4 linked regions of the Cricetulus griseus genome follow. The protein of the gene in region 1 purifies or fractionates together with the protein of each later gene. This does not show direct contact. Links are inferred from orthologs where the notes say so. Each region holds a gene or a part of one and is shown in the gene's direction. Other genes may lie near its edges.

Region 1 (5,329 bases):
CCAAGTGTCAATGGTGGCTACTGGACATTGACTTTGGTGTCTGGCAGGGGAGGGGCTGGAAGGGGCTGGAGAGATGGTTCACTAGATAAGAATGCTGGCTTTGTTTTTTTTTAAGATTTTTTATTTATTTATTATGTATATAATAATACATATTATCACAGTCTTCTGCCTGCATGCCAGCAGAGGGCACCAGATCTCATTCAAGGAGGTTGTGAGCCACCATGTGGTTGCAGAGACTTGAACTCAGTACCTCTGGAAGAGCAGTCAGTGCTCTTAACCGCTGAGCCATCTCTCCAGCCCGCTGGCTATTCTTATAGAGGACCTGGGTTCAGTTTATGTGGTACTATGGATCAAACCCAGGACTTCTTGCATGCTAGGTTGGCACTCTAACAATTGAGCTACATCTTTGCCCTTCAATTAATGCTATAACAGTTTTTATATTGCAAAAGATTGAGATGAACTAGTAAGAGAATGGACAGAAATTCTGTACTTGAGAGTGGATGCAATAATAAGACTTTGCATTTTCTAACAAAAAGAGATGCGATATACAATTGGCCCTGTGTATCCATGGGTTCTACATTCATGAATTCAGCCAACCATGGGTACAATATACTTTTAAAATTGCAGGAGACTGGAAAGATGGCTCAGATGTTAACAAGAGAATTAGCTGCTCTTCCAGAGGACCAGGGTTCAATTCCCAGAAACCACAGGACAGCTCACAATCATCTATAACTTCAGTTCCAGAGGATCTGATGCCCTCTTCTGGCCTCATCCTAGCACCAAGCACACATGTGCACAGACATACCTGCAAACAAAACATAGTTTAAAAATTAAAAGAAAATTACACCTGAGGGCTGGAGATAGTGGTTAAGAGTATTTGCTGCTCTACCAGAGAACACATATGGAATACATATATACACATATACACAAATCTTTTTTAGTTAGTTTGTTTTTTGAGACAGGGTTTCTCTGTGTAGCTCTGTGGGCCAGGCTGGCCTTGAACTCAGAGACTTGCCTACCTCTGTCACCTGAGTGCTGACATTAAAGGATGCACCATATTGTCCAGCTTGAAATTTCGTCTCAAAAACCAAAACAAAAAATACAAGTAAAAATTTAAAAGACAGTGTACCATAGGGACACTTGACATTGTTGGCTGTCCAATAATGCCTCTTTGTATTTTAGGACTTCATTTCGATTGTGGTATTTGAGGGATCTGCCTCCTCCATTTATCTACATTCATCACATTGGAAATTTTCACTGGTGTGAATGTGCTTAGGAATATAGCAAGCAAAGGGTTGGTGGGATGTCTCAGCGGCTAAGGGCACTTGCCACCAAGCCTGACAACCTTGACTACCCCCAAACCCACAAAGTGGAAGGAAAGAACGGACTCTGCAAATTGCTGTCTGATCCCCACACATGTACCACGGCACATACACGCACACACGGAGAAGCATACACACTAAAGGAAAGCATTATTATTATTTTAAGAGAGAAGAGGTAGGTACCAGTGAAGTTCAAGGACGAGGATTACTGCCAGGAAAGTATGGTAATTGCCAGAACGCGGGAGTCAGGCCAACGAGCATCCTACCCTGGGAGTTCACTTTTAAAACGGGTCGATGTTTGGGAACACTGGTACCTAGTGGCTTTTCACTGCCCAACTAACTGCCGCTCCCTTGCGGCTAACAGTCGCCACCTGTCTCCGTAGCCTTTTCGCCTACCTTTCTCACTTTCCAGCCACGGCAGACCCCCTCTCTGAGGCTCCGCTAAACGGAGGAGGCGGATCCTCTAGACGGAGAAGCAGCGTGCGCGTTCGTCTCTCCAGCCGCGCCTGCGCATTGGGCTCCCTCGCGCTCGTTCCCAGCTCTTGAGCGGGTGGGCTAGTGCGTGCGCGCACCCTCGGTTGCGCCTGCGCAGAGAGTCGAGTACTGTGTGCCCTGAGTAGGCTTAGCGCCTGCGCGTTGCGGGCTTCGGGGCCTCCCGGCCTGAGGGAGAGGAGCAGGGAAGATGGCGGCTGTGGTGGAGAATGTAGTGAAGCTGTGAGTGGTCTTTCTTTCTTTCTTTCTTTTTTTTTCCCTCCCTCCCGGACCAGAGGTCATGCAGAGGGGCCTGGGAGTAGAGACGGGGGTGCGGGAGGAGACAAGACAGAGGGAAGGACGTGCCCGGGAAGTCCTTGCTGTGCGACTCCTGGTAGGGAGGGCAACAGAAGACTCCGGAGAAGACGCCAGGCTTCTTTAGGAAACTTGTGGAGGCCGGGAGGGGGCACACGGGAGCCCCTGACGGGCGTCCTCCTCGCGAGCCGAGTCCCGAGCGTAGCTACGGGCTGTGACCGAGGGGCGCACGGTTCTCGGCCCCTCTCCGGAGACGCGTCAGTTTCGCGGAGCCAGCCGAGGCCGAGCGGCCCTGGAGGTCGCGGTCCCTTCCCCGCCCACCGCCCTCCCTGGGGTCCCGAGACTTGAGCAGTCCGGTGACATTAACTAGGAAATCCGGAGTGCCGGAGACTAAGTGTTCTTGGAAAGAATTGATCCAAGAGTAGATAGATCCGGCAGGGAAAGAACTCCGGGGAGCGGGGAACCAGACCGGAACCCCCCTGATCTCCTAGCAGGAGTCCCTAGGTGGGCGTTCTCTGTACCGTAGATGCCATTGTGCTGAAGTTAACGGTTATTGGGAAACACTGGGAATGGGGACTGGCCTCTTAGCCGCTTCCCGTGAGTTACAGATGTTTGGGGTTTTGATGTGTTTCATCCTCCTTCCTCCTCGAAGAAGAATCTGAGCGACTTTTGGAATGGGGTGGTTAATGCCCATTAGACTTAAAAAATGACCTTCTCTTTAATAGCCATGTTGGGCGTGATAGAAGGGGAGAAAAATTGAAGTATTCAGCTGTCCAGTCAAAGCTTTTGGATTCTGAATGACAAAGTAAAGGTTTGGGAACTATTCTGGGGGACTTTTCACAGCTTCTCTCGCCCGTCTTTGTCGTGGGCAGACTCCCAGTCGTCGCAAGAGCCCCCTCCCCCCGTTAAGGTTAAGTTGCTTCTCCCCCGCCGCCGCTTGGAGCCCTTTTCTTCGAAAATGCTTTCCCACTTCCATTAAGCTAAGTGCCTTCTCTTGTGACTTTTTTTTTTTTTTTTTAACTTGCTTTTGGCTTTATCCTGCTGCTTCTTTCAGCCACCCCTCCTCCCGGCACGATTATCTTTATTTCTGATCTGCCCACTCCAGTTTCCCCAGCTCTCTTCAGTCTGACATCTCCCTCAATTCGTAAATGAGGCTGTTGATTTAACATTTTTATAGTTCTCCTTCTGGACTCAGATGTTAGTTCTTTGTTACCCTGCCTTTTTCTTTGTTGACTTTCCCTATGCCATTGGGGAGGGGGGTAGACAAGTTTCCCGTGGAAAAAGGGTCATTGCTTTTACCCCTGGAAAGCTTACTGTTATAGAGGAATGTGTTTGCCTAAGCTTTCAGAATTACATGTTAATGGAACTGTTTGTGTTGAAAGATGGTCTTCCAGAAAATGGAATTGCCAGCCCATGGGGGGGGGGTATGGATTTTAAGTGGTGGCTGCCCACTGGTTCCTGAGTGTCAGTGAGATGCCAGCGTGCTTCTCCCCAGTTGTATAGAAGACTGTGGACCACCACTATTACGTGCCTCCTCAGAGCTTCCCCTTACAGAGGGGCTTCTCATACCATTCTCACCCTGAAAGATGCTCTTCTGGTGCTATTTATTATTATTATTATTATTATTATTATTATTATTATTGTGTGCTTAAGTCTTCTGTCAGCTGACATCACACATTGAGGGCAAGACCACTGGCTCATCTTTTCTTTCATTTTTCCTGTGAGAAGACTTCCATTTTAATGATCTGTTTTTCTCAACTATGATGTCGTAATTGAAATAGTCTTTATGGTGATCTTATTAGGATAAATACTACTCTAAAATAAACATGGCTGCTAACTAGTTTTAAAAACTTCATGAGTTAGGTAAATAGAATGTCCTTAGGTCCATAGAATAATAGAAGCTTGAAATTTTTTTGCCACAGGAGTCTTGACTTTATAAGTATACTCTCCCCTTTTGCTCTCTTAAAACACACACATACCTTGAGTGTGCTCTGGTATGTACGTACATTTCATTTCTGGCCATCTTACCTACTAGACCACTTGTTCCACCTTCTAGAGTTGCACCTAACCTGCAAGAGCCCTGACCAGACATCTCAATCTCCTTGCTCTGGCTTTACAGCCTTTAGCCCCGTGGGCTGGTCCTTCCTTCCGTTTGACTTCCAGTGTCAGTATCAATTCCCATCAGCAGAAACAAAGGAGCTGCTGCACTCAGCCTTGTTTATCCAATTTTCCTGTGTGGTAAGGACGTGGCTGCCTCCTAAAGGCAGCAAATGTGAGCTTGCTCTCTTTCTGTGCTGTGCTTTCCAACACATTCGTACCTTAATTACAGTCATTACTGCTCATTGAATCGAGTCAGACTGTACTTGTAGTGTTGCTGTGTGTGGTGTGTGTCCTTTTCATTTGCTGGGCACAAACTAAGCTATGCAGTGGTCTATTGTGAATGCTCAGTGAGGGTCCCCATCAGATTCTACATCAGGACTTGTTGGCATAGCTTTAGTGGTAGGTATTAGCCAGAGAGACCTACTCCCGCCTGCTTTCCATGCCTCCTTACTCAGAATCCTGGTTGGTTAGAGCTCATTTAGTGTAACCGCATCGATCTGAAAGAGAGGATTGGTGGTCCACACAGGTTAACTGCATGTCTGTGTCTATGTGGTAACTGTAGCCAAACCAGTCTTTTTACTCTCAAATCCATCCTGATGTGATCCAGACATCTTCATGGGTAATTCGGATGCTATGGGAAAGAAGTCTCCTCTGTACTCAGTATATCTGTTTTTAAGGTTGATTGAAGGCTAGGGATATAACTCAGTTGGTAGAGTACTTGCTTAGCATACAAGTGATCCTGGTTTGATTCCCTAACAGCACATAAAACTGGCAGGAAAATCAGAAATTCAAGGTCATTGTTAACTAACTGCATACTGGGTTTGAGAGTAGTATGAGCTAAACAAGCCTCTACTTTTTAAAAAATGAATATTTGGCTGGGATATAGCTCAGTGATAGAATACATCTAGCATTTAGGAGGTCCTGAGTTTGAGCCCCAGAATAACAACAAAAAGGCTGATTGATTAATTATAAATATAAGTCCTTACAGTTAATTTACTCTCCTTTACCAAAACAGTGTTGGGTCATTGAACATGCTTGCAGTTTCCTATTTTCTTAAATACTTAGGGAATCCTCTTCAGATTTCAAATGGATTTTCCAGGGCCAGAAAATTCTGGGTGTCA
Region 2 (5,352 bases), on another chromosome or scaffold:
GCGCATTGTAACCTTCGCACTGTCTCGGTGGCGACATAAAGGAAGCTGTGAATTACAAGCTCTGCCTCTTTCTGGCCTCACCCTCAGCCCTCCCCACAGCCTTAACATACCCTCTTCCTTGTTCCACCTATCCCAATGCCCTTTGCCTGGCTGACCACAGCCTCGCCGGGGGAAGGGACTGCTGAGGAGGTAGCACCTAGCCAGGAATGGAGCTATGCTGGATGCTAAGCCAAGAGTGTTAGAGACAGAAGAGGCTGGGGATTGGTGACTCTTGCAGCTGGGGCAGTGGGTACCCACAGACAGAAGCGGAAGTCCTCATTCGGTGGCCTTTCTCTCCTCTGGGTGCCCAGTGCCCCTCCCTCACTTTGATAGCCAGGCCCACCACTTGTATTTTTTGGTGAGGCAGGGTTTGGTCATGTGAGGAAAGAGACAGGCCTAGAGGAGAAGTTGAGGGCTCTGCTGTTGTGTGTCCCTACCTTAAGGGACCACAAGTTGAAGAAGAGGGCCTCCCCACCCCTACCAGGCATTCTTCCCAGGCCAGAGCTCCAACCCTTTGCAGGACTTCTCTGACTGCACTGTCTGTCTCTTGGCCTCTAATCCCCAAAAAGGACTTGTGGACAGACCACCTGTGTGCGTTGGCCTGGAGCCAGAGAGTGGGGCTATAGCATCTCTGAGAACTCTTGGTTCTCTAGAGTTCTGTAGACAGCAGACTCCCCAGAAGGAAACAGGCACAAAGCTGAGAAGTATCCACTGGCTGGGGGACAGCAGGCGGGGCTCTGAGTGACGCATGCCTCTGGTCTAATAAACTGGGTTTCAACCATCTCCTCCTCAGTGTTGTTCTTTTTGGTTGAAGAGTTTATAAGGATTACCATTAGAATGCAGCCTGCCTTGAGGGCCATGTTGACTAGAGTAAGGAATTTGGGTAGTCCAGTGTGGTGGCTACACCTGTAATTCCAGCACTTAGGAGATGGAAGCAGGTATCTTTCATTACAGAGCGAGTGTACTACTAGGCTGGGCTACATGAGACCCTACATATTTGATCAGGTAAACACTGGTCCTCCTGGAAAAGGACAGGTTCAGGAATAGTTTGAATCACTGGGCAGTGAAAGAGCAATGAACAGCAACAGATTTCCAGGACCTTCGGAGAGGATTCATGGCCAAAATTCATTAATATCTGAAGGCAATGGTCTGAGATGAAGGGTGAAGTTCCCGCGTCGGAGAGTTATTGAGCCATTATCTGTGAAATGAAGCCGGGGCTACCAGCCAGGAGACCAGAATCTAGGATGGCTTTTCTTTTAATTTGCTGGTTTGTCTTTGCCAAGACATTTCCCTCCTTTGAGTTCAGCTTTTCCGTTTGTAAAACGAATAAACAGCACGTTTCTCTCTTTCGTACCCGGAGTTCGAGCAGTAGGAGAATGGAAAGCAAAGCAAACAGAATGCTTTGGAAAGGCAAAAGCACTGTGTTGAGATGACAGTGTCTCCAGCCTGCGGTGTGCGCTCGTCTCTTTCCAACGCCTTGTCGTCCTCCGCCCGCCTGGGGGCGCCCGCTCCCGTCACCTCTCTATCCGCACATCACTTCTCTATGGTGCCCCTCCTGTGCCGCGAAGGCGGGAGGGAGTGGTCAGCACGCCTTTTCCGCTAGTTGCCCCCTCTAGGCCTTAGTCTCGCTGCCCCGAGCCGCCCGTGCCCGCCGGCGGGCCGGGCCCACAAACAGCCCAGGCGCTCGGGGGGCGCGCGGGGGGCGGGGGGAGTTCCGGTTCCGGTTCTTTGTGCAGCTGCTGCGGCGGCTCCGGGAAGATGGCGGCCCGGGCGGGTTTCCAGTCTGTGGCTCCGAGCGGCGGCGCCGGAGCCTCGGGAGGGGCGGGCGTGGCGGCTGCTCTGGGCCCGGGCGGAACTCCCGGGCCTCCGGTGCGAATGGGCCCGGCGCCGGGTCAAGGGCTGTACCGCTCCCCGATGCCCGGGGCGGCCTATCCGGTGAGTGGGGCAGGAGGAGGGGCGCGTGGGCCGGGGGCGGGGCCGAGCGAGGGCGGAGAACTGACAGGGGTGAGGGAGAAGTGGGAGGGCCTCCCTTGGGAGGGGCTCGGGTCCTGGATGGAGGTGGGGGAAGCAATGCCGAGGAAGAGCGCGATTGGGGGAGGAGGTTAGCATCCTCACCTGCTCCCAGCGGCATTGTCTGCTTTTGAGGAGTGAGTGTGGAGCCAGGGTGGGTGAAGTGGGCCCGGAGGTGGGCAGCTCAGTGTCCAGAGGAACACTCAAGTTAGAGCTGCACGTTGAGGAGATAGTTAGCTGAGTAATAAAGTAAATGTAGAGATGTCTGGTGAGTCAGATCCCACATATTCCAGAAAATTTGAGTCTGATCTGGTTTTTAGACCCTATATTCTATGAAACCACTACCAGGCCTGAAGAAGGTCCAGTTACCGTATTTCAAAGAGGCAGAAAGAAGGCTGTGTGATTGTCCTCCACCCTACCTCCCCCACCCCCATCCTTGTTCATTCCAAAAATTCAGGCTTCCATCACTTTTCGTTTCTTGGTGGAGCTGTCAAGGAAAGGTATGACATCTCTGGGCCCTCTCCATTCTGTAGAGACCAGGCATGCTGCCAGGCAGCCGGATGACACCTCAGGGACCTTCCATGGGACCTCCTGGCTATGGGGGGAACCCTTCAGTCCGACCTGGCCTGGCCCAGTCAGGGATGGACCAGTCCCGCAAGAGACCTGCGCCTCAACAGATCCAGCAGGTCCAGCAGCAGGCGGTCCAAAATCGAAATCACAAGTAAGATGACGCCTGGGGTGAAGGAAAGAAGCTACTGGGAGACCTGTGAGGATTCAAGTGGTGGGAGTACTGAACCAGGAAGTGGTGGTGCTATGTCACCAAATGGTGCTGCAGAGACTCACCCTTGTGAAGGCTTCCTGGTGGAGGTGGAGAGGGAGTTGATGGTGATGAGAAAGCCGTTTTGCAGGCCTTAGCTGTGCCATCAACAAAGGTGCTGACAGCTTAGCTCATGTTCTGACAGTTCCATCCCACCCTGATAACAGTATTTATTCCGAACAGTGCAAAGAAAAAGAAGATGGCTGACAAAATCCTACCTCAAAGGGTGAGTGCAGGCTCTAGAGGTCTTCTTCTTGAAGATGTAGTGACTGAGAAAGTACAGGTGGTCAGCTCTAGGGCCCAATCGTATCTTTCTGTTCCTAAGATTCGGGAATTGGTACCAGAATCACAGGCCTATATGGATCTCCTGGCTTTTGAAAGGAAACTGGACCAGACTATTATGAGGAAACGGCTAGATATCCAGGAGGCTTTGAAACGTCCCATCAAGGTAACACAGGAAAGCACTGGGCAGTGGGTCAAGGGAGGGGACAGGAACCTTCTCCAGGCTTAGGATGAAAATTCAAAGGCACAGCATAGCCCTCCTTGGCATTTAAATTGCATCTTTCCCTTCCGCCTACAAACCAGGAATTACATTAGGAACATAAGAGTAGAGCAGCTGGCAGGGAAAGGGGCGGGGGAGCTTTTGATGTCTCTTGCACCAGAAATATACCCTGCCCATGTTTTTGCTATAACTACTTGCTACCTTGGGAACCTGCCACTTTGTATGGTTTTCTTCACCTGGTATCCCAGCATATTTATTTATGCTCAGGCTCAGGGCCTGTATTCTTCTAAGTGGAGTATTTATTCACCTATCATAAGCCAGCCTAGAAAACCTTTGTCTTTAACATCAAACTACTGAGGCTCCATCATCAATCCTGTTTCTGCCTTCCTCAGCAAAAACGGAAGCTGCGAATTTTCATTTCTAACACTTTCAATCCGGCTAAGTCAGATGCAGAGGATGGGGAAGGGACGGTGGCTTCCTGGGAGCTCCGGGTAGAAGGACGGCTCCTGGAGGATGTGAGTTGAAGGTCCACTGTGTTGGTGTTGTATTCAGGGTGGGAGCTCTTGGTGATGATCAATGTTGTATGGTCAGCAGGAAGCCTGACTGGTGCTTATAGGTCCTGCTGGGAGCTTCCGGAAGCAGAGGGGGGGTGGGGAGAGGGAGAAAGACCCTGTGTTCCCTGCACACAAAGACAATGGTCCTTTGTATCTGCTCCCACAGCTTCACTGGTATCAAATGGAAACCATTATTGTCCTGGGATCTGACTGGATGTTTACTCTGTCCTGGTGATGCTAGCCTTTGGATTTAGCAGCATCTGCAGATTACTTCTGTAGTCCCTCATCCCCACCTCCTGAGTCTATGCTTAGCATTTGAGGCCATGTTCCCTCTCTTAAGTCCTGGAAGTTATTTCTGTCTTCCCAGCTTTCATTGGAGATACCACAGTTTAAGTATGATAGAATTCTCCAAAGGCTTGGGCTCTTTGTTGCTCTAAGGGGAGTATCAGATCAGTGAGAGCCCCCACACTTCCCACCCAGCAGCTCCTTAGGGAGGCTCATTTTTCACTCATCCCCTTGCTCTCTGGCGCTATTTTTAACCATGTGCAGGTGAGCTCATTTAAATGCATTTTTGCAGGAGAATCAGAATCTTCTCTGCGAAGGTCCAGTCTGTCTGCTGTCATGTCTTCTGCCCAGATAAAGCCATTTTTTGTTCTACTGCTTTTTCCTGTGATTCATTTCCCCTCTTTAGTGGGGTTTTTCTCTGTTCAGGTGTGCTTTGTTATGTTAACCTGTTTGGCTTAACCTGCCTCTGCCTCTCCACAGTGGTAAGTCAGAGGTTCTGTCCTTGTTACAGTACTGCTGCCACCATGGCTGACTTAATGACCAGCCACTCTGCCATATTCAGAAGATATTTCTGAGGTTTTATTTCCCATTGGGGTTAGAGGTTCCTTTTTAAAGAACTATGTCTTGGGGATTCTTTCTGGCCTCTTTTCTAACATGACACCCTCCATCTCTCTTCTTCTAGTCAGCCTTGTCCAAATACGATGCCACCAAGCAAAAGAGAAAGTTCTCTTCCTTTTTTAAGTCCTTGGTGATCGAGCTGGACAAAGATCTCTATGGGCCAGACAACCACCTGGTAGAAGTGAGTAGTTCTGCCTTCCAGGCTTTGAATATATTGGGGGTGATAGCCAAACTTGAGCATCTAGGGAAAGAGGGGGGATTAGCCCAGGTGTGTATTTCCACCTTTGCAGTTTGCATGTTGACCTCTAGGTGGCACTAGCTGTACTTAGTTGGGACACAAGAACTCTTGCAATCTGACTTGACCCACCTGACCACTGCCCTCAAAGAAAACTCTGATGGAGTCCTCTTACACTTCCGGCTATCTCTGCATCTTGCTTATAAGTATTGGTGGGCTGTAGTTCCTGACACATTGTGTTTTCCTGATAGCTGTTGCTGTAGTTAGCGGGTGGACTAATAGAATACTAGTG
Region 3 (5,613 bases), on another chromosome or scaffold:
ATAATAAATAAATCTTAAAAAAAAAAAAAGTCCAGCCTGGTCTACATAGGGAGTCCCAGGCTATCGAAGGCTATACAGTGATACTCTAATCTCAAAAAAGAAAAAAAAAAAGATCTGAAGAGTATAAAGGAAGCAATGCGTTGGGAATGAAAACAAGGCGGTGGCCAATAAGAGTGCTCGCTGGCTGCTCCTGCTCCTGGCGTTTGGTTCCCAGCATCCACAAGGTGGCTGGCTCACAACCATCTGCAACTCCGGCTGCAGGGGCTCTGACATCCTCTACAGGCACCAGGCTAGCAGGCGGTACACATACACCCTGCTAACACTCTCACACATACAATAACAGCAATTCTTTAAAAAGGACCTTGCTAGAAATAAAGAATCTTAGGCCCTGACCCCACTTCACTGAATCACAAACCACATTTTAACAAGAAGGTTCACATTTTGACTTTTCTTTTGATACAGGGTCTCCTGTAACTCTAGTCCCAACTGGTGATGCAGTTGAGAACGACCCTGAACTTCTGGCCCTCCTGCCACTCCTTCATGTGTAATGGGATTACCGGCATGCACCACCGTGCACTGTTTATCTAGTCCGGGGTTCAAGTCCAGGGCTTAATGCATGCTTGGCAAGTGCACTCTAAACCTGAGCTACATCCCCCAACCCAAATCTGAGGATTTTTCAGTGCTCATTAAAGTTAAGCAGCACCGATTCTGTACTGTGGGGAGGAGATCCCACATTAGCTGAGGGTAGGCGGTCCATTCCGTAGCCGAAACCAGTGGTTTCTGGAAAGGCCAGGAACTCTTCAAAACTAAGTCCTCTATGAACTGGAGAAAACTTGCTTCACTGCCTGGAGTTTTCTCGGCATGCAAAACTCCTTCACCTAAACTCACTTTCTGTGGGCCGACGGTGGCGGTGCGCGCCTGTGATTCGGCATTTGGTAGGCAGGGGCAGGGAGACTGCGGCGCGTCACAGCCAGTCTGGTCTACAAGGGGAGTTGCACAGCCTGGGCTGTCACTCAAGACGCTTGTCTCGGAAAACAAACAAAACAAAACCTCCGCACCGGGCCAAGTCAAACTTTTACCCAGCGGGGTCACGTCTGGAGTCACGCATGTCCCTGGCGGTTTCTTGGGGTGTGTGTGGGGCGGGGTGCTGGCGACGGCAGACAGCGCCCTATCCCACCGGCTCCCACCCTCGGGCGCCGGCGAGGGCTCTGGGTGAGCGGCGGCCGTCGCCTGGCTTTAGGGCTGACCCGGAAGGACAGTTTTGGAGGCGTGCCCCCCCCCGGCACCTCGCGGAGGGAGCCGCACTTGAGGAGCGAGCGGCCAGCACCTAACCGCGGAGGACCTAGGACGGTGACCTTTGAGCTCTGACCCCGCGCCTTTCCCAGCGCTTCCGCGTGCAGCTTCCGCTCCGGCTCCTCCGGGAAGAGGCGGTCCCAAAGGGCGGGGCTCTGTGGCCGTCAGTTATGGGCGGTGCCTGCTTGAGGCGGGTCTCGCGAGGGGCGGGATTTGAAGAGATAGTCTCGATTGGGCTGCTGGGAAGGGGCGGGGCCGGGCGCAGGCCCGGGTTGGGCGGGGCCGGGAGCGCGTAACCGCCTCTGGGTAACTGGACTCGGGCGGCGAAACCTCCGGGGGCCGGGAGAGGCCGGCGGGCTTGCGGCACATCCCGGATCTGGAGTCTCCCCGGCAGGAGCGGAGTCAGTGGGGCCGCGGGTCCTAAAGCGGGTCGGTCTGTGAAGAACTTGCGAACTTGGAATAGAAAACCCCGGAACCCGGCAGTAAAATCGCGAAGTCCCGGATCGCGGAACGCAGCTCGCGGAGCGGACTCCACACAGAGCCCGGAGGCCGGATCGCTGCACCGCGGGACGGGACAGAGCGATGTCGGGCCGTGGCGCGGGCGGGTTCCCGTTGCCCCCGCTAAGCCCCGGCGGCGGCGCCGTTGCCGCGGCACTGGGTGCACCTCCTCCGCCTGCGGGACCCGGCATGCTGCCCAACCCGGCGCTCAGAGGCCCGGGGCCTTCTGGAGGCATGGGGGTCCCGGCGGCCGCCGCCTTCCGCCCCATGGGCCCCGCGGGCCCCGCGGCGCAGTACCAGGTGAGGCGGGCGGGCGGGCGGGCGGGCGCCGCCGCGAGGGCGCCTGCTGGGTCTCCCCGGGGCCGCAGGTGAGGGCGGGCAGGAGTCGTCCCTGGACGGGCGGCTCCGGGGACGCTGCAGGAGGAACTGCCGCGAGCTGGTGGCGCGCCAGGCCGGGGTCCCTCGGCTAGAGAGAGAGGGGCAGGCAGGGTCGGGGAAAGGGTGAGCGCGGCTCTCCGGTGGAGCGCTCGAGCAGTTACAAGAGTCCCGGGGCTCCGCGGCTCACGGCTTCTGAGTAACTGAGAGATGTAGGCTCCGTGGGATCTGGAGAATTGTGTGCAATCGGGTTGAAAGAGTCTAAAGCAGGTCCCGGAGTCGGGGTCCGGGGGTGACCCGAGACGTGAGAAAATTTTGGAAGAGAAAACAGGGTTATCCTTTCGTTGGCCTCGGTCCCACTGCAACTCTGCCTTGGCTTTTTTTTTTTCCCTAGTTGGGAACTGGCAGAGCGTTAGTGTCTGAGATGGCTCCCAGCTGCTAGTTGAGGGGGAAGGAAGCCTGGCTTCCTACGCCATGGGGGGGACTAAGGAGAGGGGGCCCAGATGGCTCCAGGTTAGATTAGTGGCAGCGGCGGCCAGGTCTGAAGAAGGCCCAGTCCCAGTAACAGACTAGTCCAGATACGGTCTAGCATGGGCTTTCCATTTAGTGCCAGCGTCCAGTAGTTACGTTTGGAGGAGCAGAGAGGCTTTGTGGAATACTGCTAGGCGGGGGCTGCAGGAGTCTGCAGCAGCATCGGCTGCTTCAGAGGGCACTGCCCTGAGCCTTCTAGCTGGAAAAAGAGCAGTCAGTCTCAGGTTGCAGCTTCAAAGGCCCGTTGAGGAACGGGGGTGCGACTCTGTGGTCAGTGCATTGTGAACTCAGCCTGACCCGGCATGTGGGGCTCCTTCCCCAATGCTCTGGTGCAAGTTGCTCCAGGATGTTTTGAGGATTTTATGTTTTACTTAATGCAGTTTGGTGCTGAGCATGGAACCCAGGCAAGGCTTTGCACATGGCAGACAATTGCTATATCAGAGAGCTGCACCCCATTTCCCAGAGTGCCTGGGGATTGTGTTCATCCTTTCCCAGTATCCTTGCCCCTTTTTTTTTTTTTTTTTTTTTGATACAGGGTCTCATGTAGCCCAGGCTGGCTGTGTAGCCAAAAAAGCTGGCCTTGAACTCCTCCTGCCTCTCACGTGCTGGGATTACAGCCATGCACCACCACACCCAACCTCTTTGCTTTTACTTGTTCTCCGGGTTCTTGACAAGACCATAGGTATCTCAGCCTGTGAGCCACAGCTTCCTTGTTACTAATGTCTGAAGGTGTGCACTATAGTTTGCTCTGTCCTCTGCTGGTGTCTGTAGGTAGAGTAGAGGCCTCAGAAATAGATCCTCATGGAGTGCATATTCTACCAGGAATCAGATTTCTAAGGAGGTACCTAACTGGGAGTGGGGGTGGGGATAGTGACCCCCCCCAACTCTTCATTTCTCCTCTCTCAAAAGAAAATGAAGAATTTGGCTATGAACAGAGATAGACTTGGTCCCAAGGATACTAGTTGGGGTTTATCTTTCCCATGTTGCTTTCTTTGGAGATTCATGGGCCTAGTGTATCACTGATGTCAGTGATTTTAGTAGCCTTTGGCCCTGTTTGCTTGGAACTGATCTGGAAGCTTCCTATAGGCACTGAGGAGATCTGTCTCTTTGCTTTTTTTTTTTTTGTCTGACTTTCTGTGTAGTCCTGGCTGCCCCAACTCACTATGTAGACCAGTTTCTTTGGCATGCAGCTGATAGAAAATCTGCTCTTGGGAAAGCCCCTGTGAGGATAGGAAGATGGATTCCTCCATATTTTGTAAAGAGTAGCGCCTTGGGGTCTATGTTGAGGCCAAGCTGGCCAGCTGAATACCTGTGGCTACTAGGTGTGAGAAAGAAGATGGCCTTAAGTCTGGACATCCCATACCAACCAGGTTGACATCACCACCTTCTTCTTTCTCATTTCTTCCCCTCCTCTTCTTTCTCTGGGGAAGGGCAGAGGAAAAGGTGGGGTAAAGAGAATCCAGTTAACACTGGTTGACTTTGAAGGAGAAACTGCTTGCTTCTTTTCATGTCCAGGTACCTAACTTCAAAAGGGCTTGGGGTCTGAAGACAAAGGGGCTCCTCCTGGTTAGAGCCCTTGGGGGTGAGCGAGGATTTGCATGCTCAAGCTGGGCATATTGGGGAGCTTGTTGAAACAAAAGTAATGGCCCAGCTACCTACCTCTAGAGGGTTATTCTATCTAGTCTTGGAGTACAGTCAGCTGAAGGGCTTAACACCATAATTAAAAACAAAACAAAGAGACCTACTGTGCATTATTGCTGAGTTCACTCAGCTCAGAGTTTAGAATACTTTCTGTTCATAGGGTCAGGGTATGTTCTCCAAATGAGGCTCTTAGGCCCAGGCAGCCATCTGAGGACCAGAGCTACAGGCTTTAGGTCAGAGCAGAACATGCTTACTTGAGCCCTAGATTCCTACCCAGAGATGGCAGAGTCAGGCCTAGCCTTCTCCATTGTCTCCTTGGTGGTTACAGAATCAAGTCTAGAGTGTGGGGTGTTTGGCCAAGTAGAAGCAGTTACTGCATTTTGGGGTCCAGGGGACTGAACCAGGCCCACCTACCCCTGTGGTAGGACAAGCAGGCAGAGGCTGTGAAGCTGTGGCTATGGCTGTGACTTTGTTTTGTTTTCTAACCTGAGTTTTTAAGGAGGAGTTTCTGGCTCTTCAAAGCTCAGGTGTGGAGCTTGGCCAGGGGGAACTGGGACTTGAATTGTGAGCAGCCTTCCCCTGAGGTTCTGGGTGAGCTGGGGGCCTGGAGCCTGAGCCCCAGAAGTCTGGAGCAGATGTCTGGGTGGGGCCTATTCCAGGCCTGCCTGGGCTGCTTCGACTTGGGATTTCCTGGAGGGCTCAGCAGTAGAACAGGCTTTATGAACTTCAGTGAAGAGCTTGGGGGCACTGAACACCCCAGCTTATAGCTGCAATTACCCTAGGAAAACCTGAAGTCTTGGATGATGGTGGAGGGTCTTACAGCTGTGGCAACCCTGAGTTGTTGTCTACCCTCCCCCCCCCTTTAATTTCTGGCTCTGGCTTATTAGGGCAGAGAAACAGGCTGCTTTTGCCTTTCAACAGCTTTGATGAATTTCTTCCTGATGAGGAGAGACTTGTGGCAGGACTCCCGAGGTCCCAGGGTCTCCCACTTTTAACTCCTCAATTGCCACATGCCTCCCTGTCACCCTGCTCCTTGTCTCTGGGTCATGTTTCTTTCCCTCCGTCTCTGCTACTGGTCATGAATCTGACCTTCTGTGGTTGAGAACATGGGTTTAGTGCTGGATAAAGAAATTGCAGAGACTCATCTCCAGGATGCTGAGAGGGGGGTCTCCTTTAACTTGGTGTGAATCTCCACCCAGGCTGGCCTGGTTGTCTGGTTGTACTGATTGATTGCATAACCTGGGCCCTGGGGCCAGCCCTGTGAAGCTGCCAGGG
Region 4 (5,684 bases), on another chromosome or scaffold:
TCTTCAGGTATATGCCAGAGCACCAGCTGCACCCACTGGCCTAGGTTAGGCTTTTCTCGGCTTTGGTGTTACAGAGTTCCTGTACCCAGGCCTGGGGAAAACATGGGCCCAAGGCCAGGTTCTGCCCTCAGGAGTCACAAACCCAAATGCACCTGAAGCAAAGGACACCTGAGGCATTAGTCCAGCCCAGTTTATGGACAAGATAGTGATACCGGACGTTTGGAGAAGACTAAGATGTATTCCCATGAGTGAGGCCAGGAACCAGGGTCTGACCTGGGTCTTAAAGGGTGAGTGTGATGGGCCAGGCAGAGGGCAAGTGGAGGCATTACACGGTGGCAGAAGAGCCTCAAGGCTAGCAGATGAGGGAGGGTTCCCACGCAGATCATCACTAGAGCTACCTTTATAGCCCTGGCTGCTGGTCAGCCCACCGTGAACCAGTGTCTGCCACACCATCTGAACAAGGCGTTCTCTCTAAACCTTTCACAGTGACAGTGGGCGCCTGAAAGGGCAATGACAGCTAGGCACACTAGCAGGACCTGCAGGAAACTAAGGTGCTGGCCCAAAAGACTCCTGGGAGAACATTCCCTCTGTTGCTTGTCCTGGCCAATGAAGACATTCTGCAGGGCCAAAGGTTAGGCCCCCTCCGTGCAATGCTGGGTCCTGAGGGCTCAAATTTTAATGTGTTCCCACAAATTCCCTCAGGCCTTGTCCCTCCCTCATCCTAGTTCTGACAGCTGCCGTCCCAGGAAGCCCATAAGTGTGACCCTTAGTTGTCCCAAAGCCTGCGGGCTCCTCCTCCAGAAGGTGGGAACAGGCGTGGCTTCTGGCATGGGCGGGGCCTGAGCTCAGCCTAGGGATCTCCTTTCTGTTCTCCCTCCACTCGGGGGTCGGCCAGTTCTCTCCCTACGGTCCTTTCCGGGGCTCCCTCATCCTCTCCCACTCCACACTCCTGCTTTCTCTTCGGTCCTGGAGCGGACCTCAGCCCCCCAGCCCCCCTGGGTCTCCATGCCAGAGCCACCAAACCTTGTTTGCTCACTCTTTCCTCCTTACCCACCCAAGTACGCATCCCGGCTCGGCACGATTCCCCACACTCACTCTTCCTGTGCTCAGGAGCCCAGTCCATGTCCCCTTTTCGGAAAGACTTTCCCCGGTTGCCCTCACTTTCCCACACAGAGGCAAACAAAGACTCACGAGCCCAGAAATAGCCTCCCTCCGAGCTGGAAGGCACAGGCCGTGTCCTGCCCCGCGCGCACGCACGCTCGCACGCTCGCACGCGCAGGCACGGCGGCTCCCGTGGAGGGAGCACACCGGTGCCCGCACATAAACATCCACACCCTCGGCCGCTGCGCCGAGCCACAAAAGGGTGCAGACACGCGGAGCGCGAGGCACGGGCACACCCACGGCGGCCGGCCCTGGACGGCTGCAAGGCCCGCTCCCGGCTCGCCCGCCCCCCCGCCCCCGGATTCCTTCCAGCAAATGTTTCCCTACTTGGCCTGCCCGGTCCCTGGGGAAAGGGCCTCAGAAATGCTGCAGGAGCCACTTGGGGGAAGAAAGTTGGAACTGCCCGTTCTCTGCCTGGCCCTGCCGGCGAATTCCCCAACCGAGAAACTGTTTGTGGAGAAAGAAGGCAGGGTGGCGGGCAAGCCCCCCCCCGTCCCCTCCCTAGACTGTCCCTCCCCGTGCCGCCACCGGCGAGCCTCCGGCGGCCTGGGCGCTCGCTGCCCGCCTCGCAGCCGCTGGGCGGACCGGCCTGGCTCGCCGCGTCTCTGCGCCGTTTGGACCACGCGGGTGCACGGGAGGGCTGCTGTGTCCCCGCGCGTCGCAGGCAGACCCCGGGCCGCCGGACTATTTCTGTCTTATCAGTGCAGGAATGCGGCAGCCGCGGCGGCGGCGGCGGGCGGCGGCGGCGGGCGGGCGGCGGCGGCTTGGGCCGTGGGCCGTCAGGGCAGCCCTGAAGGGGCCCCCTCCCCACTCCGCTCGAGTAGAAGTGTGAGAGAGCCCAGCAGGACTCAGAGGGGAGAGTTGGAGGAAAAAAAGGCAGAAAAGGGAAAGAAAGAGGAAGAGAGAGAGAGTGAGAGGAGCCGCTGAGCCCACCCCGATGGCCGCGGACGAAGTTGCCGGAGGGGCGCGCAAAGCCACGAAAAGCAAACTTTTTGAGTTTCTGGTCCATGGGGTGGTGAGTGGGGGAAAGTTAGCGGGGGAGGGCGAGCGAGCTGGCTCGGGCTGAATGGAGGGATGATCGGGAAGGGCCGCCGGCGCGCTCCCGCTCTCCCACCCCTTTGGTTGGGGGGCGCACGGTCACGGCCCAACCCTGGGACCTTGCCGGCGCCCTGGCATCCGAACACGTCGCCAAGCGGTCGGCTGGGGATGGGCGCGCGGCGGCAGGGAAGAGAGGCGTCGGCTTGGGCTCTTGTCAGGGGCAAGGGGTGGGATGTGGGCACCGTGCCCCCCAAGAGGTGGGTCCCCTCTGTAGCTGACACGTCGCCCGTTCTTTTTTACTGGTGGGCCCAGGTGTTACCCCTGCCCTGGGGTGGGGGTGGGGTGGCGACTGGAACACACAACTAGGGTTGGGCTGCCTGTTGTCCTGTTCATCCACAGGGGCAGTGTCACTCTGACTGGGTCTGAGGAACTAGGAGCAGGTGACCCTGGAGGCACCTGAGAGCAAAAGCTCCCTGGCTGAGCAACCTCTGCAGCCTAGCAGGAGGGTCCTGAGGACTTGGCCCTGCTGTCAGAGCTAAGAGAGGCCTACTTAAGAGATGGACCCCAAGTTAAAGGGGTCAGGGGATCCCTTGGCAGGCTCAGCCACCAGAAGTTGATGACCTTAATACCTCAAAGGTGTGAAGGGATGGAGTTGGGGACATGAGGCCTAGAGATCAAAGGGTTAACACTATAGTGTCCTGCCACAGACATGTGAAGGCACACGAGGGACCTGAGGGTTCCAGGGACCTGAGGAGGGAGATGACTGGGTTGAGTCAGTGGAGAGCCTGGCTGTAAGGCGCTCCAGGCTTGGGGATATGTGATAGAGGGAAAAATCAGTCAAATTTACTATGGCCAAATTTGGTTGTGACTCCAAGAAGCACCTCCTCAGTGAAAGAGGCAAGGGCCCCCAAAACCTTGACCTCTTGTGATTGTGGTGCTGGTGGCAGAGCCCCTGGAAGCCCCTTCCTCTCAGTAAACCAGACAGTGTGGGTGGCCTTGATGAGTAGCAGGGCAGCTGATAGGGAGGAGGGCTTCCCTGTGGCAGCCTGCCCTCTAGCCACAGGGATCTCTGGGGTGCAGTTCCCAAGGCAGTCCTGTGGGTTAGTGGAGTTACCAGTCCTAACCTAGCTGCCTGGGGGAGTTGCTTTACAGAGTCCCATTCAGTGAAGAGGAGGCTGCCCATGTGGATTTGAATATGGCCAACTTGGAGGGTCAGTCCTTGAGTGATCAAGGCCCCCTTATTAGTAGTGGGGAATGACTAGGCCTGGCCTTCCACCCTGGTGGCACTGGTGGTATGAGTGACAGAGTCAGGTGGAATGGGGGAGGCAAACTCAGGAACTGGCCGGTTACACTACAGAAGAGATGGCCAGGGACAGCTGCTGGTAGAGGGTGGTAGAGGGTGGAGACCTTTGGTCTGAGCAGTCGGGGTTTCTTGGTTCTGGGGTGAGATGAGGAGTATTTTGTATTTGTTTATTGTGTATTGAGGCAGGGTCTCCTGTAGCCTAGGCCTCGAACTCACTATATAAGGGAAGATGGTCTTGCTCTTTCTGTCCCCACCTTGAGATTGGGATTACAAGTGCAGTTTCTTTGGTGCTGGGAATCGAACCCTGGGCTTCACATGTATTGGGCAAGCACTACACCAAGCTACATCCCTAGCCTGAGATGAGGGTGTGTAAATAGTAGGGTCTGCACCCCCACATCACCTCCTTGTTCCTGGTTAGCCCCTAAACCTCAACTCCCTTTCCAGGCCTGGACAAGTGGACTCTGGAACACCCCGCTTGCGTTTACACCTCTTCTGTTTTGATTGACTGCCCAGAGGTGGTGGCTGGGGAAATACAACCTGCCTCATTTCCCTCCAATTTGTACCCTTACTAGGATGGGGTGGGTACTGGGTTCTCTCTCTGATGTAGGCAGATGGGAGGGAGATGTGGCTTCCTTCAACCATCCCTGCCCTCTGGCAGCCCACTTCTAGTCCAGTTCCCCACTTGCCACTCGGAAAAGCTCAGACCCTCGGGTGCCTTTGCCCAGCCTCTTGTATCACCTTGGGAGAAATGAAATTAAGGAGGCAGACTAAGTCAGAGACCTGGAGTCAGCTGAAGGGGTTATTTGAACACCAAGGGTCCAAACCAGGGGTGCTGAAAGGGAGATGGGGGCTCACATACAAAGCCCCAGAAGTGGGCTGTAGAAAGCAGGAAAGCAGCGGGGAGCAAGGCCCGTCAAGGTGCTGCCTTTGTCGGGATGAACGGGGTGACCTTGGCGAGGTCGCTTTTTCTCTTTGAGCCCCAGTTGCCCCATCTGTCAATTGGGGATAAAAAAGACCGGCTCTGGCTGGCTTGCAGAAGACCGTGCCTGCCGATGTGAACATCCTTTGAAAGGTTGAAAGGCGCCATTAATATTCATTTTTGCGGTACCTTGCACGGCTCCGAGGCTCGGCTATGCCCTGGGCAATTGCCTGGCTTCAGTTAGCTTCCTGCAAGGAGCCGGCGAGCCCCCTCCTCCAGAGCCACGCAGATTCCCGCGCCCCCGCCCCTCCCACAATCACTCCCACTCCTCGCTCAGCGCAGGGTTACCAGCCCCGGGTCTTGGAGAGGGGCGGGGACACAGCACGCTGGCCTGGGGGTCGGGACCGAATCTGACCTGTCGGCGCCGGTTTCTGCTTCACCTCCCGCCCCACCCCACCCCCCCAGCGCCCCGGGATGCCGTCTGGAGCCCGAATGCCCCACCAGGGGGCGCCCATGGGCCCCCCGGGCTCCCCCTACATGGGCAGCCCCGCCGTGCGACCCGGCCTGGCCCCCGCGGGCATGGAGCCCGCCCGCAAGCGAGCAGCGCCCCCGCCCGGGCAGAGCCAGCCACAGGGCCAGGGCCAGCCTGTGCCCACCGCCCCCGCGCGGAGCCGCAGGTGAGTGCCCCCCCACCGGCGTGGAAGGGCGTGCAGGGGCGGGCAGGCAGAAGCCTCGGGGACCAGGTGGGTGAGTGATGGGTGTGGGAAGCTGAGGAAGGGTGTTAGCAGCGACCAAGTCATTCTGACTTGGATACTCTCTGGGGAGGGCTTGGGGGCACTGGTCTGGTTCTTTTGTGTGCCCACACTGGAGACAGACTGCGACAGTCAGCTGCCAGTGTCCCCTCTCTCACGCACCCCTTGCTCTCCTGCTTGTCACTTGCTAAATCCTTTTTCACATCCCTTACCCCAAGTTCTGGATGACGCTTCAGGCTTTGGGGAGAGGCAGGGCTGGCAGTAAACTGAGGGCTGAGCTTTAGCTGTGTGTTTGCTGAAGTGTGGTCCTCTGGTACCTCCCTGCCAGTCCGGAGTCCCGAATCTCCCTCTAGACCTCCACAGTCCCTATCTTGGCAGTGGGCGTGAATAGACGTTATAGTCCCTCTGAGGGACCAGATCTGCCCTCAGGCCACCGGACCAGCTTATTTGTCTGAGAAGTTGGTGACACTACCATGGCCCCTGCTGACTGTTGGCAAGATCCCTATGGGCA

What was found.
Region 2: the proteins of Dpf2 (region 1) and Smarcd1 purify together in Homo sapiens (affinity purification with mass spectrometry; 9 studies listed by BioGRID and IntAct, counting the BioPlex papers as one, with this or other methods). This does not show direct contact. The link is inferred for Cricetulus griseus from reciprocal best matches to the Homo sapiens genes DPF2 and SMARCD1.
Region 3: the proteins of Dpf2 (region 1) and Smarcd2 purify together in Homo sapiens (affinity purification with mass spectrometry; 6 studies listed by BioGRID and IntAct, counting the BioPlex papers as one, with this or other methods). This does not show direct contact. The link is inferred for Cricetulus griseus from reciprocal best matches to the Homo sapiens genes DPF2 and SMARCD2.
Region 4: the proteins of Dpf2 (region 1) and Smarcd3 purify together in Homo sapiens (affinity purification with mass spectrometry; 3 studies listed by BioGRID and IntAct, counting the BioPlex papers as one, with this or other methods). This does not show direct contact. The link is inferred for Cricetulus griseus from reciprocal best matches to the Homo sapiens genes DPF2 and SMARCD3.

The regions. Positions count from the first base shown.
Region 1 is NC_048596.1:53,429,893-53,435,221, forward strand, and holds the start of Dpf2 (zinc finger protein ubi-d4), read left to right. Parts: upstream 1-1,886; 5' UTR 1,887-2,004; coding exon 2,005-2,036; intron 2,037-5,329. UniProt on the Homo sapiens protein: Plays an active role in transcriptional regulation by binding modified histones H3 and H4. Is a negative regulator of myeloid differentiation of hematopoietic progenitor cells. Might also have a role in the development and maturation of lymphoid cells.
Region 2 is NC_048595.1:396,139,998-396,145,349, forward strand, and holds the start of Smarcd1 (SWI/SNF-related matrix-associated actin-dependent regulator of chromatin subfamily D member 1), read left to right. Parts: upstream 1-1,614; 5' UTR 1,615-1,797; coding exon 1,798-1,974; intron 1,975-2,166; exon of another isoform or gene 2,167-2,186; intron 2,187-2,582; coding exon 2,583-2,770; intron 2,771-3,049; coding exon 3,050-3,092; intron 3,093-3,191; coding exon 3,192-3,314; intron 3,315-3,760; coding exon 3,761-3,883; intron 3,884-4,889; coding exon 4,890-5,006; intron 5,007-5,352. UniProt on the Homo sapiens protein: Involved in transcriptional activation and repression of select genes by chromatin remodeling (alteration of DNA-nucleosome topology).
Region 3 is NC_048600.1:119,218,250-119,223,862, reverse strand, and holds the start of Smarcd2 (SWI/SNF-related matrix-associated actin-dependent regulator of chromatin subfamily D member 2), read left to right. Parts: upstream 1-1,875; coding exon 1,876-2,091; intron 2,092-5,613. UniProt on the Homo sapiens protein: Involved in transcriptional activation and repression of select genes by chromatin remodeling (alteration of DNA-nucleosome topology).
Region 4 is NC_048601.1:97,911,157-97,916,840, forward strand, and holds the start of Smarcd3 (SWI/SNF-related matrix-associated actin-dependent regulator of chromatin subfamily D member 3), read left to right. Parts: upstream 1-1,946; 5' UTR 1,947-2,098; coding exon 2,099-2,176; intron 2,177-4,886; coding exon 4,887-5,098; intron 5,099-5,684. UniProt on the Homo sapiens protein: Involved in transcriptional activation and repression of select genes by chromatin remodeling (alteration of DNA-nucleosome topology).